Linked DNA regions of Arabidopsis thaliana. Each later gene encodes a partner of the first gene's protein in a complex. Each region holds a gene or a part of one and is shown on either strand. Other genes may lie near its edges. The genes, in order: NRPE7, NRPE5, RPB5E and NRPD1B.

Evidence for each region.
Region 2: NRPE7 (region 1) and NRPE5 share a complex: the UniProt entries of both Arabidopsis thaliana proteins name them as parts of the RNA polymerase V complex.
Region 3: NRPE7 (region 1) and RPB5E share a complex: the UniProt entries of both Arabidopsis thaliana proteins name them as parts of the RNA polymerase V complex.
Region 4: NRPE7 (region 1) and NRPD1B share a complex: the UniProt entries of both Arabidopsis thaliana proteins name them as parts of the RNA polymerase V complex.

The regions. Positions count from the first base shown.
Region 1 is NC_003075.7:8,404,877-8,410,285, forward strand, and holds NRPE7 (RNA polymerase Rpb7-like, N-terminal domain-containing protein), read right to left. Parts: upstream 3,016-5,409; 5' UTR 2,835-3,015; exon of another isoform or gene 2,676-2,834; intron 2,169-2,675; 5' UTR 2,161-2,168; coding exon 1,624-2,160; 3' UTR 1,371-1,623; downstream 1-1,370. Other genes in the region: CLPB2 (casein lytic proteinase B2), read left to right, coding at 5,178-5,408. UniProt on the Arabidopsis thaliana protein: DNA-dependent RNA polymerase catalyzes the transcription of DNA into RNA using the four ribonucleoside triphosphates as substrates.
Region 2 is NC_003074.8:21,122,988-21,129,272, reverse strand, and holds NRPE5 (Eukaryotic rpb5 RNA polymerase subunit family protein), read right to left. Parts: upstream 3,437-6,285; 5' UTR 3,396-3,436; coding exon 3,144-3,395; intron 2,392-3,143; coding exon 2,215-2,391; intron 2,123-2,214; coding exon 2,009-2,122; intron 1,929-2,008; coding exon 1,803-1,928; 3' UTR 1,198-1,802; downstream 1-1,197. Other genes in the region: BIGYIN (Tetratricopeptide repeat (TPR)-like superfamily protein), read right to left, coding at 12-150, 554-646; AT3G57072 (uncharacterized protein), read left to right, coding at 3,437-3,574; AT3G57070 (Glutaredoxin family protein), read right to left, coding at 3,846-5,099. UniProt on the Arabidopsis thaliana protein: DNA-dependent RNA polymerase catalyzes the transcription of DNA into RNA using the four ribonucleoside triphosphates as substrates.
Region 3 is NC_003074.8:20,171,192-20,176,926, reverse strand, and holds RPB5E (RNA polymerase II fifth largest subunit, E), read right to left. Parts: upstream 3,323-5,735; 5' UTR 3,255-3,322; coding exon 2,970-3,254; intron 2,282-2,969; coding exon 2,105-2,281; intron 1,949-2,104; coding exon 1,835-1,948; intron 1,756-1,834; coding exon 1,630-1,755; 3' UTR 1,465-1,629; downstream 1-1,464. Other genes in the region: AT3G54500 (agglutinin-like protein), read left to right, coding at 1-399, 470-621, 808-1,135; SKIP5 (SKP1/ASK-interacting protein 5), read left to right, coding at 3,602-3,764, 4,216-4,360, 4,446-4,524, 5,434-5,492, 5,666-5,735. UniProt on the Arabidopsis thaliana protein: DNA-dependent RNA polymerase catalyzes the transcription of DNA into RNA using the four ribonucleoside triphosphates as substrates.
Region 4 is NC_003071.7:16,711,705-16,718,108, forward strand, and holds the start of NRPD1B (nuclear RNA polymerase D1B), read left to right. Parts: upstream 1-2,755; 5' UTR 2,756-3,020; intron 3,021-3,375; 5' UTR 3,376-3,384; coding exon 3,385-3,465; intron 3,466-3,721; coding exon 3,722-3,848; intron 3,849-3,939; coding exon 3,940-4,055; intron 4,056-4,151; coding exon 4,152-4,199; intron 4,200-4,532; coding exon 4,533-4,697; intron 4,698-4,863; coding exon 4,864-5,022; intron 5,023-5,106; coding exon 5,107-6,404. Other genes in the region: AT2G40020 (Nucleolar histone methyltransferase-related protein), read left to right, coding at 59-196, 291-488, 661-805, 893-1,149. UniProt on the Arabidopsis thaliana protein: DNA-dependent RNA polymerase catalyzes the transcription of DNA into RNA using the four ribonucleoside triphosphates as substrates.

The DNA.
Region 1 (5,409 bases):
ATTCCAAACTATGGTTATACAGCTTTTGCTTTTTTTTTTTTTCTTTCTTTTTTTTTCTTCCTCATACAGCTTTTGCTTTTATTAAGATAAAATTACAAACAATAATTGATCAATCTTTTTTTATAAATATCTTAGTTCACAATTTGCACTTGTAGAAATTTTTTTATTATTATTTTTACATAGATTTTCACAAAACTAAGTAATTAGTATCTCCTTTTTAGTTTTTACAATACAATCGGACCAAATCATTGTTAGAATATAAGAAATAAACTCTTACATAAATAGGTACTAAGCAAATGTTTCTAAGTGTACTTTGGCTAGAAGACAAGATTTACCTTGACAAGTATGTTGGATCAGGCCCGACTCTACACATGTGCTGGAGGAGCTGAGGCACAGGGTCCACCCAAAATTTCTCTTTTTTTTAAAGTAAATCTAGTACAATTACGATCCAAAAAAAAATTTACATAACAAAACACAGATATGTGAACTAATTTTTTTTCCAGCTCTGGGTCCTTTATTATTTTGAGCCGACCATGTGTTGAATAGACAATAATTATGCATCATAATACAACTCAATGTGAAACACACGATCTTCGAATTTGCTGAAAATATGAAAATATGATGAAAGTTATTTCCCCAACAAACACATTTGCCCAGTAAACCTTGTTTTCATATACCTCTATTTGGTATCTTAAAACAAGGTATTTTCATAAGTTGAAAGTTTAGTTTGAAATTAACTATAAAAATATATAAAGCTTTCGTGGGCATGTTCTTGCAACTTGGCATGTTTTTCTTGATGACGTGGACCAAAAATAGTTTGATAAAATACATGCAATTACTATCTAATTGTTATCAAAGTGTTTTTCAGATACTTCTTTTTATCGAAATAAAATTGTTGGCTATTAGCTAAAGATATTAACTAAATAAATATTACTATTCGATTACCGAAGGAAAGGAGAGTCGGGCCAAGAACGAGTATTAACCAATCCTGTGTCATCCACAAATCCAAACATTGAAAATTTTTTATTTAGGGTTTTAGACCTGCCAAGCAATCACATTCTCATGTGATTCTCGTGGGCTTTCTTTCGTCTTCCCAAACTCAACGATTATTGGGTTGGGCTGTTAGACTTTGAATTGACATAGCGAGCAAAAGTAGCAATATTCAAAGCGGCACCGCTTCAATCGGCGCAGAAACAGTCACTGGCAAAAAAAAACTCATACGCCGCTTCGAAATCTGGAGACCTGTTGAAACTAGAGATTTCTCGATGGTGATGAGTGATGATTAATCCATAATCGTGCTCTGAGATTGGTTCGGTTAACTTTGGTTTGAAATATTTCTTATATATCCGGTTTGACTACGATTTCAGAGTCTAATTCCAATCTGAGCTTATCATATGGAAGAGACTCACAAGCAAGCAAAAATCATTACCAATACAAAAAACCTAAATTAGACCAATCTTTCCTCTTGAAGGTGAAGGATTTCATTACATTCAAAGATCAATGTTTTCATTATTTGCACAGCTAGAGAGTAGTTACTAGTTACTACCAAACATGAACTAAAGCCGAGTTATATAGACATAAGAGATTGCCCAAAAACGCCATCACATGAAGAGATCAAGCAGATCACTCTTCAGATAATGGTCCAAGATAGTCACCTTCCAAGCTAGCCAACGCCTGAAACTCCCTCTCTACTTCCATCCACTTTATCCCAATCACAACAACCCTCACTGTAGTCTCAACCTGAATCCTAGACGTCTTCTCATTCATGAAGATCGGGTTCTCTCCAGGGATATACTTGTAATCCGGCATCTTCGTGTAGGAGAGGTAAACATTCTCGATTGGACCACACCTCATGAAGACACCGTGCTTCAACACCTTGTGCACCACACCGTGAATTATCTCTCCTTTGAAGATCTTGAAAGTCATTCCGCTGAACATTACCGGGAACAAAACTTCACCGGTGTGCTCCCTGATTTTGCCTTCTCCAATCTTGTCCAAAGTTGTGACTGCCACGTAGTAGCCAAGCTCCTTGGTTGCTTTCTTGGAAGCAAACGCCTCTAGTAACTCTACTAGTATAGCTCTCTTCAACATCAGCCCTTTGGCATCCATGTTTTCAGCTGGAATCATCACGTTCCATGGTAATTGGACTTTGAGAAACATTGTTCAACCTTCAAAACCAAATCAAAGCAATGTCACATAGCTATCATCATTGATCCAGAGAATAGAAATACTTTACTATCATCACATTCTTCTCAAAGGAAAGATATGAGAAAGACTCTGGAAAAAATCAAAACTGAAAGATCACAGAGAAAGGAAAAGGAAGTAGACAGTAATTTCCAGGTTTTTCTCTGAAACGAACATCTAGGTTATACAAATCATCATCAGTAACCTAAAGTAATTCATCCATAAGATAAGATCAAAGTTTCTGTTTTTATAAGAATCTGGACACAATGTAGACATGCATTAGCAAAATACCAATTTCATAACTCTACAGTACTCAAAACAGAGATTCAGAAATTAGTTTCACATTACATATCTACTAAAACGAACACTAAACAAAAAAAAAAAAAGAGCTTTTCACTAAAAAGTATTTCTCACAGGCATTTAAACAAACACTACGCAGGCATGTAAGTAAACAAGTAAGAGTCCTCAAAATTCTATCAAAAGTTACCAACTTTAATAAACCCACAAAAGCTTTGTATTTGCATTTTACGATTAAGTACTCAGACCATCACTTTTTCCACATTTTCTCGAGCAACCCATGGACCAAGACCTTAAGACTGAAAATAGCTGAGAAATTGATTGAGAAAATCAACAGAATACTGAACCCATGCCTTTGTTTATAGATTCCTAAGATATCAAACGAAACGAGAATCGGCAATAGAGAGTGAAAACTGGTTTTGGAGAATCAACGATGCGAGAAGCGAGAGTTTGTTTTGTTGTTTCAAACTCTCTATCGACTGAGAAGTAACACTCGGAGACTTTCAATTTTGGTTTGTTTACATGTCGATGGGCTGAAAAGACCCATTATTACTGAGACTATATTATTATTGGCCCATTAGTATTCACTTTTTCTCTATTTTCTTTTAAATATATTTTCAGAAACTAATTAATTTTTCATTTTAAGATTACTAATTTCATATATTTAAAAACTTTGAAAATTTGATTCTCAAATATTTAAAATTAGATTAAACTTTTTAATCATATTCGAAAATATACTTTTTCTTCTCTAAATTGATAGAAAAATACAAATTAATATATATTTCCTTTTAATTATTTAATCTAATTAGATTAAAAAAATATCTCCATTGAAATCTGGTCGTCTGTCACGTGTTGTGATTATGTTTTTTTTTTACTCAAACATGCTTCTCATATTAAATAGGGATTAAAATCCCGGTATAATGCGTTTGTGATTACATTAGGAATGAGGTTGTAAAAATGCGACAAAGCATCAGATGGTATTCTATGTTTCGCTAAGATATCCGCCGCTTTGTTGTGATCTCTTCGAACCCAAGTAAACTGGCAGTCATTAAACTTGTCTCTCCAAATGCGTGCTTCCCTAATCCAATTAAAAATATTGAAATTGTGTTGCCGACCATGAAGCAGTTCCACCACTGTTTTGTTATCGCCTTCAAAACATACTCTTGTATATCCCTTAATCCAACAGCTTTGCATTGCAAGAATTAGTGCCTGAAATTCGCTTTCCATAGCTGTGTTTACATGTCTTCCTTTAGCTTGACCTGCACCTCTAAAGGTGCCTCTGTCGTCTCTAATCACCTATCCTGCACTAGCCGGTTGTCCGTTGATAAAGCTACCATCATAGTTGCATTTGATCCAGTTTGTATTCGGCTTCATCCAATGATATTCGCCTTGAAAACCAACGTTCTGAAATTGCGGAGGGTTCGTCATTCCCAAACTTCTTTCATCTTGATCATGCCATTCCTTTGCATCACTTCGAGCTTGTCGTATTACCTTTCGCCATGAAAAGTTCCTTTGTTGAAAGGTGAGGTTGTTTCGTGATATCCATAGTCTCCACAAGATCCAAAGAGGTAAGTGCTTAAGATGTGGCGTTCTTGTCCCCGTGTTACACTTGAGGATCTCTCTCAACTTTTCTTCCCATGGGGTCCGTGGGTCATAGAGTAACCTGTTTGATATTCCAGAGCCTCGCCAAACAGCTTTCGCATAGGTACAGTTGAAAAATAAATGCTCTGTTGTCTCTTCCTCCATACAACATCTTCGACACCTAAAGAAACGGCTAATGTGATTATGTTAATTACTCATTTTAAGAAACAAAGTTTTACTTAATAACCTTTTCCCCTTTTTAATAAGGTTTTCCCTTTTTTATGTAATTTTCTTATTTTCATTGAAGTGTATCCTTTTTAACTATATACTTTAATATAAACGTTTTACTTTTTTTGTCAAAAAATTGTATTTTTCATTTTTATGTTAGCATAGATCAAAATCTAATTAGAAGAAGTTCTTTACATGTATCAAAATCTCATCAATTGATTAACACATGTCATAAAAAAAGAGAAAGATGGAAGGTCATGATTTCTTCTAATCTCTTTTTTACTGTTTCTTTACATAAGATTCTTATCTTTGAATTTACTAAGTGTTTTGTATTTGGCAAAAAAAAAAACTAACTAACTCAAAATAAGAATTTACATTGAAAAAAAATAAGAATTAACATTTTTTCAATAAATATTTTACAAATCTCCGCTAGTTTCTTAGTTTCAACAATAAATAATAAATATAGATGAAATTTGATTGTTTTAAAGAATTAAATTTATTTCCTATAATTTATCACAACTTAGTTATTTGGATTTAGGGTTTCTAGTTTTTCAGAAATCAGAAATCAAAATTCATAAATTTTCGACGGTTAAGGTAATTTGATTCACATTTCAGCTTTACTAATGTGTAATTTCAAATTAGTAATTAAATTTTCTTGATGTCGACATACCAAAAAAAAAGAAGTAGATAAGTCAAATTATATAAGAAGGGAAACATATATATTACATTAACTAAATCAGAGAAAGTATTTTCTTTCCCAAATCCTAAAAGGTTTTTCTTGAATCTATCTTTTAAAAGAATCTAGATCATATTCGTTTATCTGCCCTGTTTCTCTGATATTATATATATTGGATTTATGATTTCTTCTCACAGGGTTAAGAGAAAAGATGAATGATCTGAAATTTGACCCCAATGTCAAGCTTATACTTGCCTCGGCTCGATCACATGCCATGTCATTGTCACATGGTCAAGTAACTCCTCTGCATCTCGGAGTTACTTTGATTTCTGATCTGACTAGTGTTTTCTATCGAGCAATCACCAGTGCAGGAGACGGCGATATCTCTGCTCAGTCAGTTGTCAACGTTATCAACCAATCCTTATACAAGCTCACTAAACGGG
Region 2 (6,285 bases), on another chromosome or scaffold:
AGTACTACTACCTTCAAGCATGGCTATTCCACGTTGAACATCTTCCGTTTGACGGGAATGAACAAGGGCCCATGACAATCGCATCAAGCACTCTTTCTTAAGATCTTCAGTGCCAGAATCTGTGGCCTCTCGAACCTCTCTTTCACATCCCTGCACATCAACACAACAGAGTTTAGCAGATGAAGCTAGACGATTGAAGAAGATACAAAGCTATCAAACAAAAAACCATTGATGCTGTGACATTTGGTAAAGTTCTACACAGCTATCAAATTCGGATCCAACATAAGGGTGCAAAAATCAGTAATCACGCTCATTTGAGGACGAATTTTACAGCAACTCATGAACTTCTAAAGCTCGATTCAATCGAATCCAATAAAAAAATATCCTCGAGAAAGCAAATCCGATTTCAGAAATTTCCAAGCAGAAACACGAAAACAGGTCTAAATTTCTGCAAATGGTTCATGATTCCATTTGCCTACAAGAGATGGTTCATCTTCTTCGGAAACATAGGCGGAAAAAAGCGAAACAAATGAAGGATATAGAGAAAACTTACAGCGATGACATCTCCGTCGCACCATGGGATCTTATCGCTGCCGCTGAAGAAAGTACCGACGGAGTCAAAGAATTGTCCGATCTTAGCATCCATTGAAGGCGATTTTGAGCTTTGATTGATGAGGTTTTCGTTTCTGGTCTCTTTCTTAATTCTTAAGGAGAGTTTCTTAAGGAGAGAAGTTGGACTTGTTGCCCAAGCTCAGGGAAACAGACGATATTTATCCCTTGAATTTATCAACAAGACCCCTGTATTGTTAAGACTTACCCACATTGATCACCATATCTTCTGTTTTGTTATTAACAACCCTTTGGAATAAAAAACTTCTGTGACATGTGATGGTGTATTACTGATTTTTTCCAATAAATTTACAAGATTCATAACAACTAGATAAGAAAAGGAAAAAAACTGATTTAATCTTTCACGATTAGATGTTTAACGTGGAGTTTTAACTCAATCAAGCAGTTATTACTATTGATGGTTTGTAAAAGTAATTTCTATTTTTTAAGTTATTAAAAATATCTGAAGCAACAAATTTCATATTTTAGATCATAGTACTTTTTTGTTGTCGATTTTAATTTAGGTGATGTATTTTGTTTAATTGAATAACAGTTTAACGTTAAAATACATATATATTCATGTCCATAGAAAATACAAGACTTATAAAAGCATCAAAATAATCGGAGAGATTTGCTGAAAGTTTGCCACTTCTTCAAACTCTTTGGATCAATATCACACGCCTCTTCTTTTCTTCCCCTGCCCATTTTTTTGCTACAATATCTAATTGGTTTCATCAGATTTTTTAGTATCTTATTCAGTCCTAGTCGTCGTCGGGCTTGGCTAGCCGGAGCTGCTGTATGTATCGGGGAATCATCGACGACTGCACTGTACATCAAAGAGAAGCCTGACTCAGATAAACTTCGACCAAGCAAGGCATTGTTGAGGTGAGCCTCGAAAGATAACCGCTCAAACCGATCCATCAATGAGCTTTGATTGTCCTCGAACCTCTGAAGAAATGTTGGAGTCTCCATGGCCTGTTTTTGTGTATTGATAGCGTGTAGTGACTGCTCTTTGTACGGAAAACATAAATGGTAATGTTTTCAAGAACAAGCAAAGGATCTTTTTTTTTTCCTTAACTTTTTTTCTTGTGTTCAAAGCAACGGATCTTCTAGGATTAAAAACAAAACCTTAGAAACATACAAGTTATTTTTTCCTGAAAATAAGTACACAAGATGGTTTTTAATTGGTTTCTTCACCACACACATCGGAAGGCAACATGCGATTCCGTGAGTTCGCCTCTGTAATTCACCTTCACAACTTGCCCTTTCTCTAATCCGTAGTACCGGACGATAGCATCTTTCTTTGAAATCCGAGGAAGCTGTTAAATAAATTTTGGGATGAACGGTTCAAAAAGTGAGACTATTACTTTTATTTAGCTGCAAGAAATGGATAATGGACCTGTTTTTCCTCAATGCTGAACTTCTTGAGAAGTGTTGTCTTCTCTTCATCATTCAACACCTGATGTTGTGGCTTCAGTGAATGTTTGGTTATGTTGACTAGCAGATCCGTTATCTTAACAAGACAGCAAAAAGGAAACTAGATGTTACAGATTTGAAGTACTAACCAAGAAAAATTAGATTAGGAAAATATATAGGTGTACCAACCTGGAATATCTCGACCTTGAAAGAAAAAAGTTCAATGGCTTTCAAGGCTTGATTGGTTACATGGTTTTGCAGAACCAATATCAGCCCAGTTATGGTTTCTTGGCTAAGTATATCCGCTACTACACTGCGGATTGCGTTGACTTTAACCATACTAGTACCAAAAAAGACAATTTTTACCTGAACAAGCAAAATCACAACACTTCTTGAAGCAGACCCTTTAAACCAATAACACAATGTTACTATATCCAGAGAATCACTATGAGATATCTGTCGTTATGCCATAAGACTAGAGCTGATGCAAGAAACATCATGAGTTGAAAATAGAAGACATTTATAAGTAACAAAAATCTTGTAGCAATCAATATATGAAATCGACTAGTTGAAAGCAGGTGACAAGCATGTCTATAAGCATACAAAAAGAGGTAACATGAACCAAACAACCAACAAGAAAAGGGGTAAGATTTTCAACAAATATCCAACTTAACCGTTCTTTTGCAGTTCAATCTCATTCTAGAATTAAACATGGAAACTTGTAGCTATCATCAGAACTCGCACATTTGACATTGACCATACTCTAAAGATTGAAGAGATCACTCAATGAATTGTCCGAATGTTCAATAGCCATAGGAAGAGATCTAAGAATCACTTTGCTAGTTGTTACCAGAAACATTTCACATTACAAAAATTCAGAGGACAAACAAATGAGGTATGCTACTTGATAAGGACAATAAAGTAGTAAACTTTAGTCATCTGAATCCACAAAAGTAGCAATTCAAACTTCAATTAGAAGATAAGAAATTTAAAAGAGTCACAAATTTCATATTCCATCATCTTCTTCACTGCCAAACAGTAAACCCCACAACATGCAAAGACAAAAAAACAGCTAGAAATCGAAAAATCACAACGAATACGAAAATACTTCGATATACCTTTTTGGTAGAATCGGAGCGATGCAGAGCGGAGATGCGAAGACGATCAACATCGGGACGTTCACCGTAAACAGTTCGAAAATCGTGAAGGGAGAGATTGATATCTTCGTCGGAGACTTCGTAGCCTCTGTCTCGGAGCATCTGCAAGCCATTTCGCCGCGCAAGATAGTATCTATGACTCTCTTCACTCGATAGATCCACGTATTTGCTCAGACACAGAACCGAAGCTGTCTCTTTCCCTTTCACTTCCATTTTTGTCTCCCTTATCTGAGCAAAAGTCGTCGAGTCCAGTGATGGGATTTAAAGGGAGACTAAACGTTGTCGTTTTAGGATTTAAGAACAGAAGGAAGAAAGCTAATATAGGTGAGCGAGCAGGTGACATCAATCAATCAAACTACATTTGTGGTAATGTTGCACATATTTTTCATTGATAAAAAATACCTTGCAAACAAAGCAAATCATTCGGCTATTATGCGAATTATCAATCATCATCTACCATTTGATGTACTTCATATAGTAAGAATCATTTAGTTCAAAAGGTCAAGAGCGTAAATGGAACAAAAGAACACAACTCATAAGAGTAAATAATAAAAGGCTTGAGCCAACTTACTTATTTGAATATACATTACTAACCAAATACCATGTTTAGTCAATCAATCTATATCCCCTTTCTCACACACATCTTTTGATCAAACTGATCACTTAGAGACAACACACACGACAACGCACCAATCCATTCTCATTGCATTTAGGACACCGCTTAAACCGTTCATCTTGTTCTTCAAACACTTTGGTGCTACCATCACAGTTAGTACAAGGCACAAACCTTGCATCACCACAGCTCCGGCATGTCCCCAAGCGTTCACAAGCAGGGAAATCTTTCAACATCTCTGCTAATTCACCACCATCATTTAGCTGCATAATCTCCTCCACGCCACCAATGTGAGTTCCTCTGATAAACACCTGAGGCAAACAAACCGGTTTCTCTGCGGCGCCAAGCACGCTTTGAAGCTCTTTCCTGTATTTGGAATCCATAGAGATGTCACGTTCGTCTACGGACACTTGAACTCCTCTCAATATCGCTCTAACGCAACAACAATCCTCGTATGTCTTTCGAATTCCTCTGAGGGTTGTGAAGTAGAGTACAATCTTGTCTTCTGTTCCTGGTAATCTCGGTTTGGCTGGTGATGAAATCAATTGACTAGAGGATACAGATTTTGGTTCTTCGCTTATTAAGATGGATGGATTTGATGATGGGCTACAAGAGAGAGACTTTGTGGGTCTATGAGGGTTTCTAGTATTACTATGATTGCTTAATAGCTTAGAAGACAAAGCTTTCTTGTAGGATGAGACAATGCTGGGATCTAAATCAGAGAGAAATGATTCTTCAGACAAATGCTTCCACAAAGGTTGCTTAGGTTTATAAGTCAAAGGAACCCAATCTCCATCGTCTTCTTCGATTCTCACAATCTCGTAAGATTCATCCAATTTCAACGAAGACCCATTTAAACTCACATTCCGATTCGGGTCGGGTTTAGAGCAAAAATCCGAATTTAGACGCTTACCCGGTTTGGGAATTTCGAATTCGAATTCATCGTCCAAGCCATCCATAAGCTCCCAAGTGTTTATGACTGAATCAGGAGAGACCGGATCTGGTGTGTTCTTCCCGGAGATTGAGATACGAGGCAGCGTTTGTTGGTCGGAAGAGGAGTTTTTGGATCCATCGAGATCAAGGAGGAGAAGAGAACCGTACGATGTAGATGTAAGGGAAACAAGGTGATGAGAGTCGCCTTTTCTCGCCGGAGGATGGTGAACCAACGGCGTCGGAAACGAAAAAGCTCTCTGCACCGCCGGTGAAGATGAATCGGAGCTGAATTTGGTCGGCGGTGGAGAAAACGCAGATGAGGAAGAAGCAGAAGAAACGGAAGAAGCGGTCTTTGAAGCAGAAGAACCCATTACGAAATCGAATTTAAAAACACTGACTTTAATGAATAATAGTTTTTAGTTTCTTTGCTCTTTCTGGTTTCTTCTGAGATTGTTTGGTTATCTCTGGGAATGATAGAGAACAGAGAGAGAAAAGAGAAAGGTGGAGAATAGCTGTCTAGGGCAGTTGAAGGTGGAAGATGGTGAAATTTAATGGCAGAAGAAAGAAACGATGTTGATGTTGATTTTCGGACACAACAACAGTTCTCGATTTGATTTTGATTGTGTAACCAAAGCTTATGTATAGAAGAAGAACCAAATTCCAAGAACTTTCCTTCACTGTCTATAAATTGAGCCAAACGTTTTTAAAATAATGAAGAAAAATAAAATATTAAAGAAAAATGTCATTATCTTCATAACTGCAATCTTTAATTCTTTATGATATTTTTATTAGAACTAAACGAAGATTGGAGGAGAAAAAAGGTTGATCAATCAAACAAATATTGACATGTCAGTTCCAAAAGATTTTATAATTAATTTTGGGGGTTCACAATATACATCTACATCTAAATTTTAGTTGAATTTATTTTTGCAATGCTTTATTTCTAAATTGCTTTTTTAATTTACGTCTTTGAAAATGTTTATTCCAAAATTTATCTTTTGAAATTTGCATTCAAACAAAATGTTTTGATATGACTCTATCTAGATATAAATATTAAGAATATATAAATTAAAAATATTAATTTTTATATCTACATATATTAAAATTTAATTTTAAAGTAAAAACATATAGATAATATTAAAGGTTTGAATGATAAATTTCAAGATAGGACCTAGACAGAGTATTCACGTGAATAATTTAAATCCTTGACTTTACGGAAAGTTTCTATATCTGACCTGTTATTAACTTTTCTTCTACCATAATTTAATATCATCATCTCATTGAACTCTTCCTTATTCATTTTTATTCATAATCAAACATTTTATTCATTTTGATTGATCTACACATACCTTTTTCTATTTCCTAAGATGATGTTTTGCAGTTAGCTGGTACGATTTAGTTGACTAGTCTTTGTAATGAAAGCTGTATATTCTAATCCCCACGAGAGAAAGTATGGTGCTTTGCTGTTACATTTTTTGTTTTTAATGAATTTGCTGTTACATTTTTGCATTATGTTAATGTATTTGAATCACGTATTATTATGTTATACGGTTTAGA
Region 3 (5,735 bases), on another chromosome or scaffold:
GTTAGGAATCAGTTGATGCATCCTTCCTACAATCCTGCTACTGCTACCTCAGTAAACATGGCAACAGATGCCTCTGCACGGCCTTCAACAATGACACCACAGGAAAAACTAGAAAAACTTAGACGCAGACAGCAAATGCAGGCAATGCTTGCCATTCAGAGACAACAGCAGCAATTTTCTCATCAGGTGCCTGTAGCAGATCAATCCATTACTCAAAACTGTCTCCAAGATATTCCACTCCAGCTTGTCGACAAAACTAATCTCCAAGGGCTAACTGCAATGCCTTCCTTTGATCCTAGTTCATCTTTGGAACAAGATGATTCTGGCAAATTTGCTGCTGCTGTTGATAATTCAGCAGAATTCGCAGTTCTTTATCGGCTTCAGGATGTTGTAGCAAAGGTACTCAAATGGTTGATTGACTTGTTATGTTTGTGTTGGGAGTAAACTAATACTCTTTATTGACCTGCAGTTGGATATGGGAACACGGACTTGTATACGGGATAGCTTATTCCGGTTGGCTGGTAGTGCAGCTCAGAGACATTACACTAGTGATACATCCCACAGTAACAAGACTAGCCAGGATGACCAGGAAGTCATTCCCAGAGAAGAATCCAGATATAGGTAAGCAAATTTATGCGTATTATTCAATATGGTTAACTTCGTACTTAGACAATGTAAACTAGTAAAACTACAAGCATACTTTTTCGTAAATGGGGGTTAACCTTTTTAATAAATGCTACCGAGTTCATCATCACTATCAATCAAATTGTGGTTTACATAACTAGCTTTTGTATTTGATATTTACAGATATGCTGGGATGCCAGATACAGAAGCAGTGACCAACCCCACAGACAGAACTGTGGCTCATTTGCTCTTTCATAGGCCTTTTGATATGTTGGCGGCAAAGCGAATGGAAGGACCAGAATCACCCGCTTCTTCGAAGATGGGAACTGAAGAAAAAGGGAATTTTCCTAAATGCAGCATACGAGAGACTCACTTAACTAAGCAGAAAGCTCAAAAGGAAGAAGGACCTGCAGATTCACTTGCTTTGGGGAATGCACCCAACTCTGGATCTAGTAGTACTGTTGGTGAGAGGGTTGTTGAAGCATCCCAAGGAAACAAAAGAAAATTGTGAAATTTAGAAGGTTGTTATTTCCATACTATAACTCTATAAATCGTTTCCATGCCCTTTTGTATACGTGCATAGAGCTTGTATACAGATTGTAACTAATACGCAGGTGTTGCTTTTGCTTTCAATCAGTTTAGGTTGCCGTGTTAGAGAGGAGCTTTGGGTATTTCTGCAGACTAGACAGCATCTTTCTGCGTCTCTTGAAACAATCTCCTGACTGCTCCTTTCTTGTGAAGCTCTTATTCTTGTAATTAGATTTTTTTTTTTTTGTTACTTTTCGAAAACCTCTTTTGTTATACGTATCTCCATGACAACTACATTTTGGAAAACGTGTAGTTTGCAATGTTTTTCCCCCATTCGAAACCAGATTCAATCTCTTAATACAATTGTAAGCACACACCAAGGACACATAAAGTACTGTTTTGAGGAGAAGAAATAGGTAACAGGAGTGTCTTAGTTAATCATAGAGTAGCTGCAACGAATTTGCCTTTCTTCAGAGTTCAGATGATGCATCGGTATGTCACAAAATCCCCAACAGGCTCTTTACTGTATGTAATCTTCACCACCTGTTTTTTCTTTAACCCATAGTACCTCACAAAGCTGTCCTTCTCCTGCAAATAAGGAAGCTGAAATGGAAAAGAAACATCCATTAAAACATAGCATACACAAATAGGCAAAGAAGCTTTGTGCAGAATATAAACAGACCTGTTTGTCCTCAAGTGCATGCTTCCTCAGCAGTTGTTCTTTCTCCTCTTTGTTTAAAATCTCAATCTTTGGCTGCTGAATGTGCTTTGTGATGTTGACCAACAAATCTTCAATCTGTTGGCATATTCAATAAGTATAAACATGTAACTGTTCAGTTAACGTATTTCCAATTCAGGTCTCAATTTCATGATCCTCAATAGATATCATGCAAGACAATCCAAATCCAGAGCTATAATGTTTCATCATGTAGGAAAACAGATAAGTGCTGACCGGGAAAGTTTCAACTGTAAAAGGGAAGGTAGTCAATGCCTTCTGGGCAAAGTGGTTCATTTTGCTCTGTAAAACCAGAATCATAGCATGCAAGCCTACATTGTTGGAAATCTGAATATGAAGAGCACGAACTGACTTCACGGTGATTGGTTCAGTTCCCATGAACACAACAAGGATCTGCATAAAACCATTTCAATAAGCTTAATGAAAAACAGGTAAAAGCATGAGAATATGTCTGGTTACATTCTCATCTCAACTAGCTGTTCAAACATAACATTTTAATGACACCTTAATATGATCCCATCCTTTCCCATTATAAAGTTAAAGCAATATGCCATTCGTTACAACACAAGTACCATGCGAGGAACCTTACTGCTACAACAAATTTTCTTGGTTCCCAAGAAAAAAATGGGTATGTATTAGTTCTTCAGCTTTTCCAAAACATATACCAAAAGCTATAAATTAAACAGAACAAGACCAAACGCAAACCACACATCATTGGAAAGAAGAAGATAAACCCATATACTTCTCAGTTCTCACTAGTCTTATCCTAAAAATACCCTATAATTAAAAGTTGAAATCTTTTTGTTGTATTAAGGCAAATTTAAACCAAGGTTAAACCCTAAATCTAAAAAGTCGACGCATTTCTCAAATTTTCTTCTGTTTTAACGCAAACCCAAGCTGGAAGCTCAAAATCGATAAAAGTTTAAGCGTTTTACACATTTTTTTTCTCTTTGAAGGCGTTAAACCAAAATGCAAACCCAAAATCTAAAAAAGGTGATGCCTTTTTCACATTTTCATCTGTTAAAAACAAAAAGTAACACCCAAATCGAAAAATAGCGGTGGAACAAAGAAAAGCTGAAACCTTTTTCTTGGGATCTGAGCGAAGAGGAACGCAGATACGGAGGCGTTCAAGCTCAGGCTTCTCACCAAAAACAGAACGAAACTCAGAAAGAGTGAGAGAGAGCTCAGCTTCATTAACTTCGTAGCCTCTATCGCGAAGCATCTCAAAAGCTGTCGTGCGAGCCAAGTAAAACCTCTTGCTTTCGATTCCTCCGGTGTCCTCAGTCTTCGAAATACAGTTGGTACCGTCGTCAAACGTCGACTCAACATTTTCACAGCACCCTTCTTCGGCCATTGTCTCCTCCATTTTTCTCCTCTGTCAATTTCAGAGTTTTGCTGTTGGAAGAGAGAAAGGTTTTATGAGTTTGTTTTGTCACAAGAGAGAGTGTTGTTTGTGCTTGAGACTTCTCGGCTGGCCCCTTACTAAAATACATCTGGACTGTCCATTGCATTAATCAACCAACGGTTACGATTCCTCTCTTTTTTATTCAATTTTACTTTTAAGAAAACTCCAAAAAAGCATAACCATAATGTCATAAAGACATGTTTTTGTTGGACCGGACATAACCAATGTCGAGATGACGTCAATGGATAGTTGAGTCGGCTGTTATTAACGACGGCGACGAGTTAGGGTTCATACTTCCTAAAGCGGCCATGGAGTTACATGAGATCTCAAAGCTCGACAATAAGAAGCATCCAGAGAGAATTGTTGAATCGAAGATGAAGAAGAGAATGAAACCTTATTCTCTCACGTCTCTTAACAATCTCGACGATGGTTGCCTTATGCATATCCTCAGCTTCCTATCTCCAATTCCAGGTAAAATTGGTTTCTTTTTCGCATCTATTACTTTGGTTTTCTCATACTTTTATACTTCTTTGTTCAATTCTGCTTTTAATTGTTTCGTTGTTTGTAATTCATTTAGAAAATTTGACCAACTGTTTCACATCTTAATGACGGTTCTGTGTCTCAAATTTACTACTTTGAGACTTTGCAGATCCTAATCAAATCATAATTGAATTCAATTCTAATCTCCATGATGAATTATCTGTTTCTCTTGACTTGGTGTGTATGTGATACAGCTTTGTAGTAATGTAACAGAATCAGCAAGAAAGCTTTTGACTTTGTATTGAATTGCTATGTTTTGATCTGTATGGTGTTGTGTGAAGCTTTGAAAATTTCGTATTTTGTTTGTATGATTGACTTGGGCATTTGTTGCGTACTACAGTCTGTTTCAATGCTGTTTTGTGTATCTCTTGTGAGTTTGCAGATAGGTATAACACAGCACTCGTTTGCCACAGATGGAGATATCTGGCGTGTCACCCTCGCTTGTGGCTCCGTGTTGACCGTTTTGTCAAGGATTTATCTCAGCCTGGAGTTTTCCTCAACATTGAGTCAGCTGTATCTGCAGCAAGGTTTGTAATATTATCAGTTACGTTATTTACACTTCTTTGTTATTCGTAAAAGGGTCCATAAATCTAACCAAATTGTCACCTCTAGACCCGGCGATACCATTTTAATAGTAGCCGGTGGGAACTATCGCGTTTCTAATATTCAGATTAAAAAGCCTCTTTGCCTGGTATGTCTTTCAAAGAATATATGTCTAGTGTAATTGCTTGATATTTCTGAAAGAATCGTTTATAACTTTCTCTAGAAATGGCAATGTGAAATTGGTCTACTTTCACATGTTTCTTGAGTCTTGCCAAAAAAAATTAGACTTCAAAAATCGCAAGTAGTGAAAAATAATTTATAGGACTTAGTATAAACCATTTATACCAACATCTGTGTAGTATCCAAGAAACATGTGAACATATGGTAACATATCTATTCTCATGAGGATGGAGATTCCATTCCATGCCATAGGTCTCGGCATCTGAGATCAGTATGCATTGAAGAGATCCAGAGAAAACAATGCCACGTCTTAGGTACCAAAATAGAAATGAAAGATATCTTAAGCTTGCACACAATTACTTTCAATGCCACAACTGGAAACTAAGCACGAGCTGTTTGTGACATGGACGTTTTAACGAGTGTTAAAGAACTAGAACTTGATGACTAAAATTTTCTTTGACTGTCGTGAGAACTCGAAAAAAAGAATTCAGTTCGACTTCAAAGTCTTTTATGCACTTGCCACCTACCTATCAGTAATGTTCCTTTTCTCATACTGGGCAACACATGGAATGACTGTAAGCTGTAATGAAAACTATTGAAAGTAGACCTTGGTGTATGAATTAGGATGAAAAGATAGAGTTGCAGAAATATGAGTGATTTATCATGAATGTATGGATGCACACCCCTAGAATACCTCAGTGTAGATTAGGGGTTGGCTTATCAGTGTCCCTAGTTTCAGTTAAGTGGAAGAATGTACGCCTTGAGGTTGAAAGGAGTTCCTAAGCTATTGAAAGTAGATGCCTTGAGGATGATGTTGATACATAAGTCTCAATGTTCGATAGTAGTCTCAGTTTTATATTATCTTCGCTTTGTTCAGGTCGGTGGAGGCGAGATTCCTGATGAAACCACCCTCGTCTGTGCTCGTGGTTCAGACAGGTTTGGAACTCATATTCCCTCTTAAGACATTTCCTCTCTACAGTTGTTTTCAAAATTCTTTCTGGGAGGTTTTAGCTTCTTAAAAGTTGTTGAATACCGCATTTCCCATTGATGTTTAAAGAAAAGGAAAATACTTTGGTATACGGCTTTTTGTTGTTGGGTTTATTGTGCAGTGCCCTGGAACTGTTATCAACCTGCAAGCTTGCGAATTTAACAGTAAAAGCAGAGCTCGGGTGCTGTTTG
Region 4 (6,404 bases), on another chromosome or scaffold:
ACTTCTTTTTATGATGGGTGTTCTTGTTTTTTTCCTTCTATGATTATCTCTCTTTTCTATGCTTTTAAATTGCTACTTTTCTTTTGCTTTTTTGCAGAAGGCTGGATTGATGCGAGAGGATGCAGCACGAGATCGCATGAGAGGATTTGGGTTTCATGAGCATGTTATCAGTGAGAGTATTAAGGAACTGTTAGAGGTTTGTTCGCTAGTTTTAGGGTCTCCATTTTTCCGTTGTTGATAACATTTTCCTTGCAACTTGAAAATAACGTTTTACCCACTTTGGATTTCAGGTCTACGAAGACCAATGGTTTTTGATTGAAGATGATAGCTATGGTCCCCTCCTTGCTATCTGCCTTGAAAAGCAAGAGGAAAAAGAGAAACAATTGGCTGAAGTACAAGCCAACCAATTGCCTGAGAATCACAATGAAGAGATGGCTGAGGAAGAACAACCCAATCAATTGGCTGTGGAAATACACGAAGAAGAGAAGGTGATTTGTTTTTCTTCCTTCTCGTTCTCTTTCTGTGCAGGTTCACAAATCTGTTGCTTCCATTGTTGGGATTCGTTTTGCTGGCATTATTAGAAACCATTGACAGAATTCTTGAACTTGGTTTACCCAAATGGTATGTAACTTGCAGCATGATCCATCTTTTGTAATACAGGAGCAGGAGCAGGACATGCATATTGAGTATGGAAGAGACCAAGCTGATGAGTTATCAATCAATAGCGAAGCAGTCAATGACCCATCACCAGCAGCTATTCATTTGGGAGAAGCATCATCAGATTATGCACAAAGTTCTGTTCGAGGTAATAAAAGCTTTTTTACTCATATCCATACCAATCTCAACATAAGAAATGAAACATTCTTTTACTGCGGTCAAAATAATTGATTAGGTGTGGAGAATCTTCATTGTGGATGGCTAATTGATGAGGAGGAGACGGATCCTGAGGAGGAAACGGATCCAGAGGAGAAGGAGACCGAGCCAGAGGATCCAAAGGAGAAGGAGACGGAGCCAGAGGAGGATAGTGATGGTGATGATGATGAGATCATTCAGCTTACTCCAGAACCTCTTTGTGAAGAACTTCAAGAGCTTCTCAGGGAAGTACGTGGACAGAAGAGGAGGAAGAAAGAGATGAGGTGGGACAAGTAAAGGAGCTATGGAGCTCCTGTAAGTAGCAAATTGATATATATGTTAGGAAGCCAAATAGTAGTAGTAAGCTATAGTATTGTGGTGAAAAAAGGTAAAACGACCCATCTTAACATCTCTTGAGATATTGGTTTTTAATAATTTGTGATGGAGTAGAGAAAGCAGATAGTCTTTATCAGTAGTTGTATGAGTCATACAATAGTACCCGAACCCACTTATCCAAAGATCAATGTCGAAAGTGGAAACCAAATCCCTCTAAAGTAAATTGAATAGCCAGTCTAAAAGTTAGACCAAATCTGAAAGTCGGTTTAATTGCAATTATACCTTCTAAATGCAAGAACCAATATCAACCGGTACTTCATATTCTTTTGATTTTTGATTTGTACATATAAACTTTTTTTTGTACATATAAACTTAAATGCAAGTATAGCTTGACTTGTATTTTACACATCAGCGGAAAAGTTTGAGAGAGGAAGCATATTGTATTTCGTTTGGTTACAACTTTTGCTAACTTTTACAATAAATGGAATGAAATTTTTTTCCACTTAATTCCTCCTGAATAGAAAGAAATTGATGCAATTTTGTTCCCTTTTTAAATCCATGAGCCAATAAGTGCATCTCCAATTATATTCCAAATTTCACTCTAAATACTAATTTAGAAAAAATCCTTTTAATACCACTATATTCTCAACTCTAAAAGGGAGTGATGAATATGGTATGATATCATCTGTCACTTCATTTTGGAGTTACCCTTTACTTTTTATTTACAAAATATTTTCCTAAATTTATACTCATGTTCTTCATTTATGTGTAAACAAAATTATATAAATGAAGAAAAAGAGTTATTGTTAACCTTCTCCATGTTTTCATTATAAATTGATATGAGCATTGGTTACCGTTCTTTCGGATAAAAACGAAGTTTATCTCTTGAAAACATTGTTCCTTTCATATTCATATCGCATCAATATATAATTGAAAAGTTCATTTATGGTGATCGATCAAATATATAACAAAATAAAATGAAAAAATACTTTAACATTTTATATATAATTTTTGAAGACAAAAGAGCTGTTTTTTTGTCTTTAATTGATTGGTCAACTGTTTACATATTCATTTTTTTGGTATGAACTATTTACAAATTCATGAATACAAAAAATATCTCAAATTTTTTTTTACAAGTCGATCCACTTAGTTCTTACCGTTTTTTTGGTATAACCATTATTTTATAAAACATCGTTCCCGCTAGATTTTTATCGCATCAAACATAGCGTACTACAAACGGAAACGGTCATCTATGGCGATCGATCAAATATACAACACCAAAATCGAATCCAAAAAATAGTTTACTTGAAGTATTTATATGTTTTGCTTCACTGCTAATTCTATGGTTTTGAAATCCTTTATTCTTCTCAAAAAAAAAAAAAGTTTGTCAATGGTTGTTGACATGGTCTTGCATAATATGTGGATAAATATTTGTTTTAATCATTTTCATCATCATTGCATATTCCCAAGTGTTATCAATTGTTTGACAAATAAAGAAAAATTAAAATTGATACCTTTTTATTTTAGTTAATTAATAACGAAACTGAAAATATTTCTCCCTTTGCATGCAATGTGGGTTTTAAAGACGGAAGCTGAAGAGTGAAGAAGAACAAAAGATTTTTGAGAGAGAAAAGTAGAGTCACTCCAAAATTGTTCTCTCGCAATCTTCTTTCTCGGTTTCCTCTTTTAAGAAAAAGTCCGCCATTTTCACTCTCACTCAGATTTCTTCCCTCTTCTCACCTGCAAAAACCCTTGTTTCCCGCTGTTTCGTTTCTTCTCCGGTTGAGGAACCAAAACGGGTCAAATACGCAGCTGAATCATCGAATTCTTAGGTATTTTCGTCTTACCCAACTCTTATCTTTAGATGTTTTTCCGGGAAAAGAGCTCGATCATGACTCCGCCGTGTTTTTTTTTGGGGGGGGGGGGGTTTCTCCGAAATGGGTTTCAAATGTAGGTTACTCTAGGTTTGAAAGTTCGGATTTTTTGGTTCACTGTGTGTTACTACAGCTTCGATTTTGTGTAAACGAGTATAAAAATTGTATCTTTTACAGATTTGAGAACTTGTTCTTCAAAGACTTGATTTTTCTTTGTATCAAGTTAGTGAGCTCAAATGTCTTTGTTTCTCTGTTTGTTTACATCTGATAAGAGCTAACTCGGTCTCGCTGGTGTGTGATTTTCGCTCGTTAGGGTTTTTTCATGGAGGAAGAATCTACATCAGAGATTCTTGACGGAGAGATTGTTGGAATCACATTTGCTCTTGCTAGTCACCATGAAATAGTAAGTTATAAGAGTTATACTCTCTGGAATTGATCCATCTTGTTCTGCATCAATGTTTATCATGGGTTTTACATAACTGAAGGATTTCGAATAGCTAAAACCTCTATGTTTTGGTTATCTTTGGCACTAAATTCACTATAATTGTACTCAAGCTCTGTGTGATGCTAAGTGCTACACTTTTGCATATAAATGTTGTTCTGCGATATATCCTCTGTCACTATTCCATTTCTCACTGGACTGTAATTCTTTCTTGCAGTGTATTCAATCGATTAGTGAATCCGCAATTAATCATCCCAGTCAACTCACTAACGCATTCTTGGGGTTACCTCTTGAATTTGGTAAATGTGAATCTTGCGGTGCGACAGAACCAGATAAATGTGAAGGTAATCCAGTTCCGTAGTTGCTATATTTTTGTTCTTACATCATTTGTTGGAATACTTCTTCAGATATCGGTATTTGTTTCTACATTTTCAGGTCATTTTGGTTATATTCAGCTTCCAGTGCCAATATACCATCCTGCTCATGTTAATGAGTTGAAACAAATGCTGAGCCTTCTGTGCTTGAAATGTCTGAAGATAAAGAAGGCAAAGGTATTACCTCATTGAGTTTTCTTAAATTCCATGTGATCCACACATAAATAAACCATATAAAATCTCGACTAATCTTTTTCACCTTTCTGAGTACAGGGCACAAGTGGTGGTCTGGCGGATCGCTTGTTGGGTGTCTGTTGTGAGGTGAGTAATGGCATATACATTCTGATTGTTTCCTTTTAAGTTTTACCTGAAAGCAAGTTGATAGATGTTTCTTATGTGAACCTGGTTCAGCATTTAGTTAGTTTTTCTAAGTTTTCCTTCAACTAGTTGCATGTTAGAAAACTTGCTAATTCAAATCTAAATAGTATTTGTGCTTCTTTTGATCCATTCAGTGAAAGTAACATTAATCAATGCTTGTGAAGCAGTAGCTATTGGTATTTTCGTGGCATCATGAAACATTCACTGCTTTATGTTATTTTGGATGTTATTATTGCTGAACGTCTTGGATTTTTAACTACTATATTACTTTATTAGGAAGCTTCGCAAATCTCAATCAAAGATAGAGCATCAGATGGTGCCTCATATCTAGAACTGAAGCTCCCATCTAGGTCAAGACTGCAGCCTGGTTGCTGGAATTTCCTGGAAAGATATGGTTATCGCTATGGAAGCGATTACACGCGTCCCCTGCTGGCAAGAGAGGTTTTTACTTTCTTCTGTGTGTTTATGTTTCTGTTTATGTAGGATTTTATGGTGACGTTCTTTTTGTTCATTTGGAATCATTCTCTATCTTTAAGATCTTTTCTTTCTGGAAACTGATGATTATGTACTTTCCGTGTCCTTTTCCATATGGTGGGAAAACAAATAGGTTAAGGAAATTCTAAGACGGATCCCCGAAGAATCAAGAAAGAAACTCACGGCAAAGGGACATATTCCTCAAGAAGGATACATACTAGAGTATCTTCCTGTCCCGCCTAACTGTTTGTCAGTGCCAGAGGCTTCTGATGGTTTCAGCACCATGTCAGTGGTAAGTTGAAACTAAATTACTATGTTGAGTTGAATGCTTTGGCTTGTGTTGTAACCCCTGGATTTGTGTCATTCTTATTTTCAGGATCCTTCCAGAATTGAGCTAAAGGACGTTCTGAAGAAAGTCATAGCCATAAAAAGCTCTAGGTCTGGCGAGACAAACTTTGAGTCGCATAAGGCTGAAGCCAGTGAGATGTTTAGAGTGGTGGATACCTATCTCCAGGTGAGGGGTACTGCAAAAGCGGCAAGAAACATTGATATGAGATACGGGGTGTCTAAGATCTCGGATAGTTCATCTTCAAAAGCTTGGACAGAAAAAATGAGAACACTTTTCATCCGTAAGGGTTCAGGTTTCTCTTCCCGTAGCGTCATCACTGGAGATGCTTACCGACATGTGAATGAGGTAGGGATCCCAATAGAAATTGCGCAGAGAATCACATTTGAGGAAAGGGTTAGTGTCCACAATAGAGGTTATCTACAAAAGTTGGTAGACGACAAGTTGTGTTTGAGTTATACTCAAGGTTCTACGACCTATTCTTTAAGGGATGGATCCAAGGGGCACACTGAGCTTAAACCCGGGCAGGTTGTTCATCGCAGGGTCATGGATGGGGATGTTGTGTTTATCAACAGACCCCCGACAACACATAAACATTCTCTTCAAGCGCTTCGGGTGTATGTTCATGAAGACAACACCGTGAAGATTAACCCTCTGATGTGTAGCCCCCTCAGTGCTGATTTTGATGGTGATTGTGTCCATTTGTTCTACCCTCAGTCTCTTAGTGCTAAGGCAGAGGTTATGGAGCTCTTCTCTGTGGAGAAGCAACTGCTTAGCTCACATACTGGACAGCTGATTTTGCAGATGGGTAGTGATTCTTTACTGTCTTTGAGGGTAATGCTGGAGCGGGTATTTCTGGACAAGGCAACTGCTCAACAGTTAGCTATGTATGGCTCTCTGTCCCTGCCACCACCAGCACTAAGGAAGTCCAGTAAATCTGGCCCAGCTTGGACAGTTTTCCAGATTCTACAGCTTGCCTTTCCAGAACGTCTGAGTTGCAAAGGAGACAGATTCCTGGTTGATGGAAGTGATTTGCTGAAGTTTGATTTCGGGGTTGACGCGATGGGGTCCATCATCAATGAAATTGTAACTTCAATCTTCCTGGAGAAGGGTCCAAAGGAGACACTTGGATTCTTTGATTCGCTGCAGCCTCTATTGATGGAAAGTCTGTTTGCTGAGGGATTTAGTCTAAGTTTGGAAGACTTATCCATGTCTAGGGCAGACATGGATGTAATTCACAACCTAATAATCCGAGAGATTTCACCTATGGTGTCTCGCTTGAGATTATCATATAGAGATGAATTGCAGCTAGAGAACAGCATCCACAA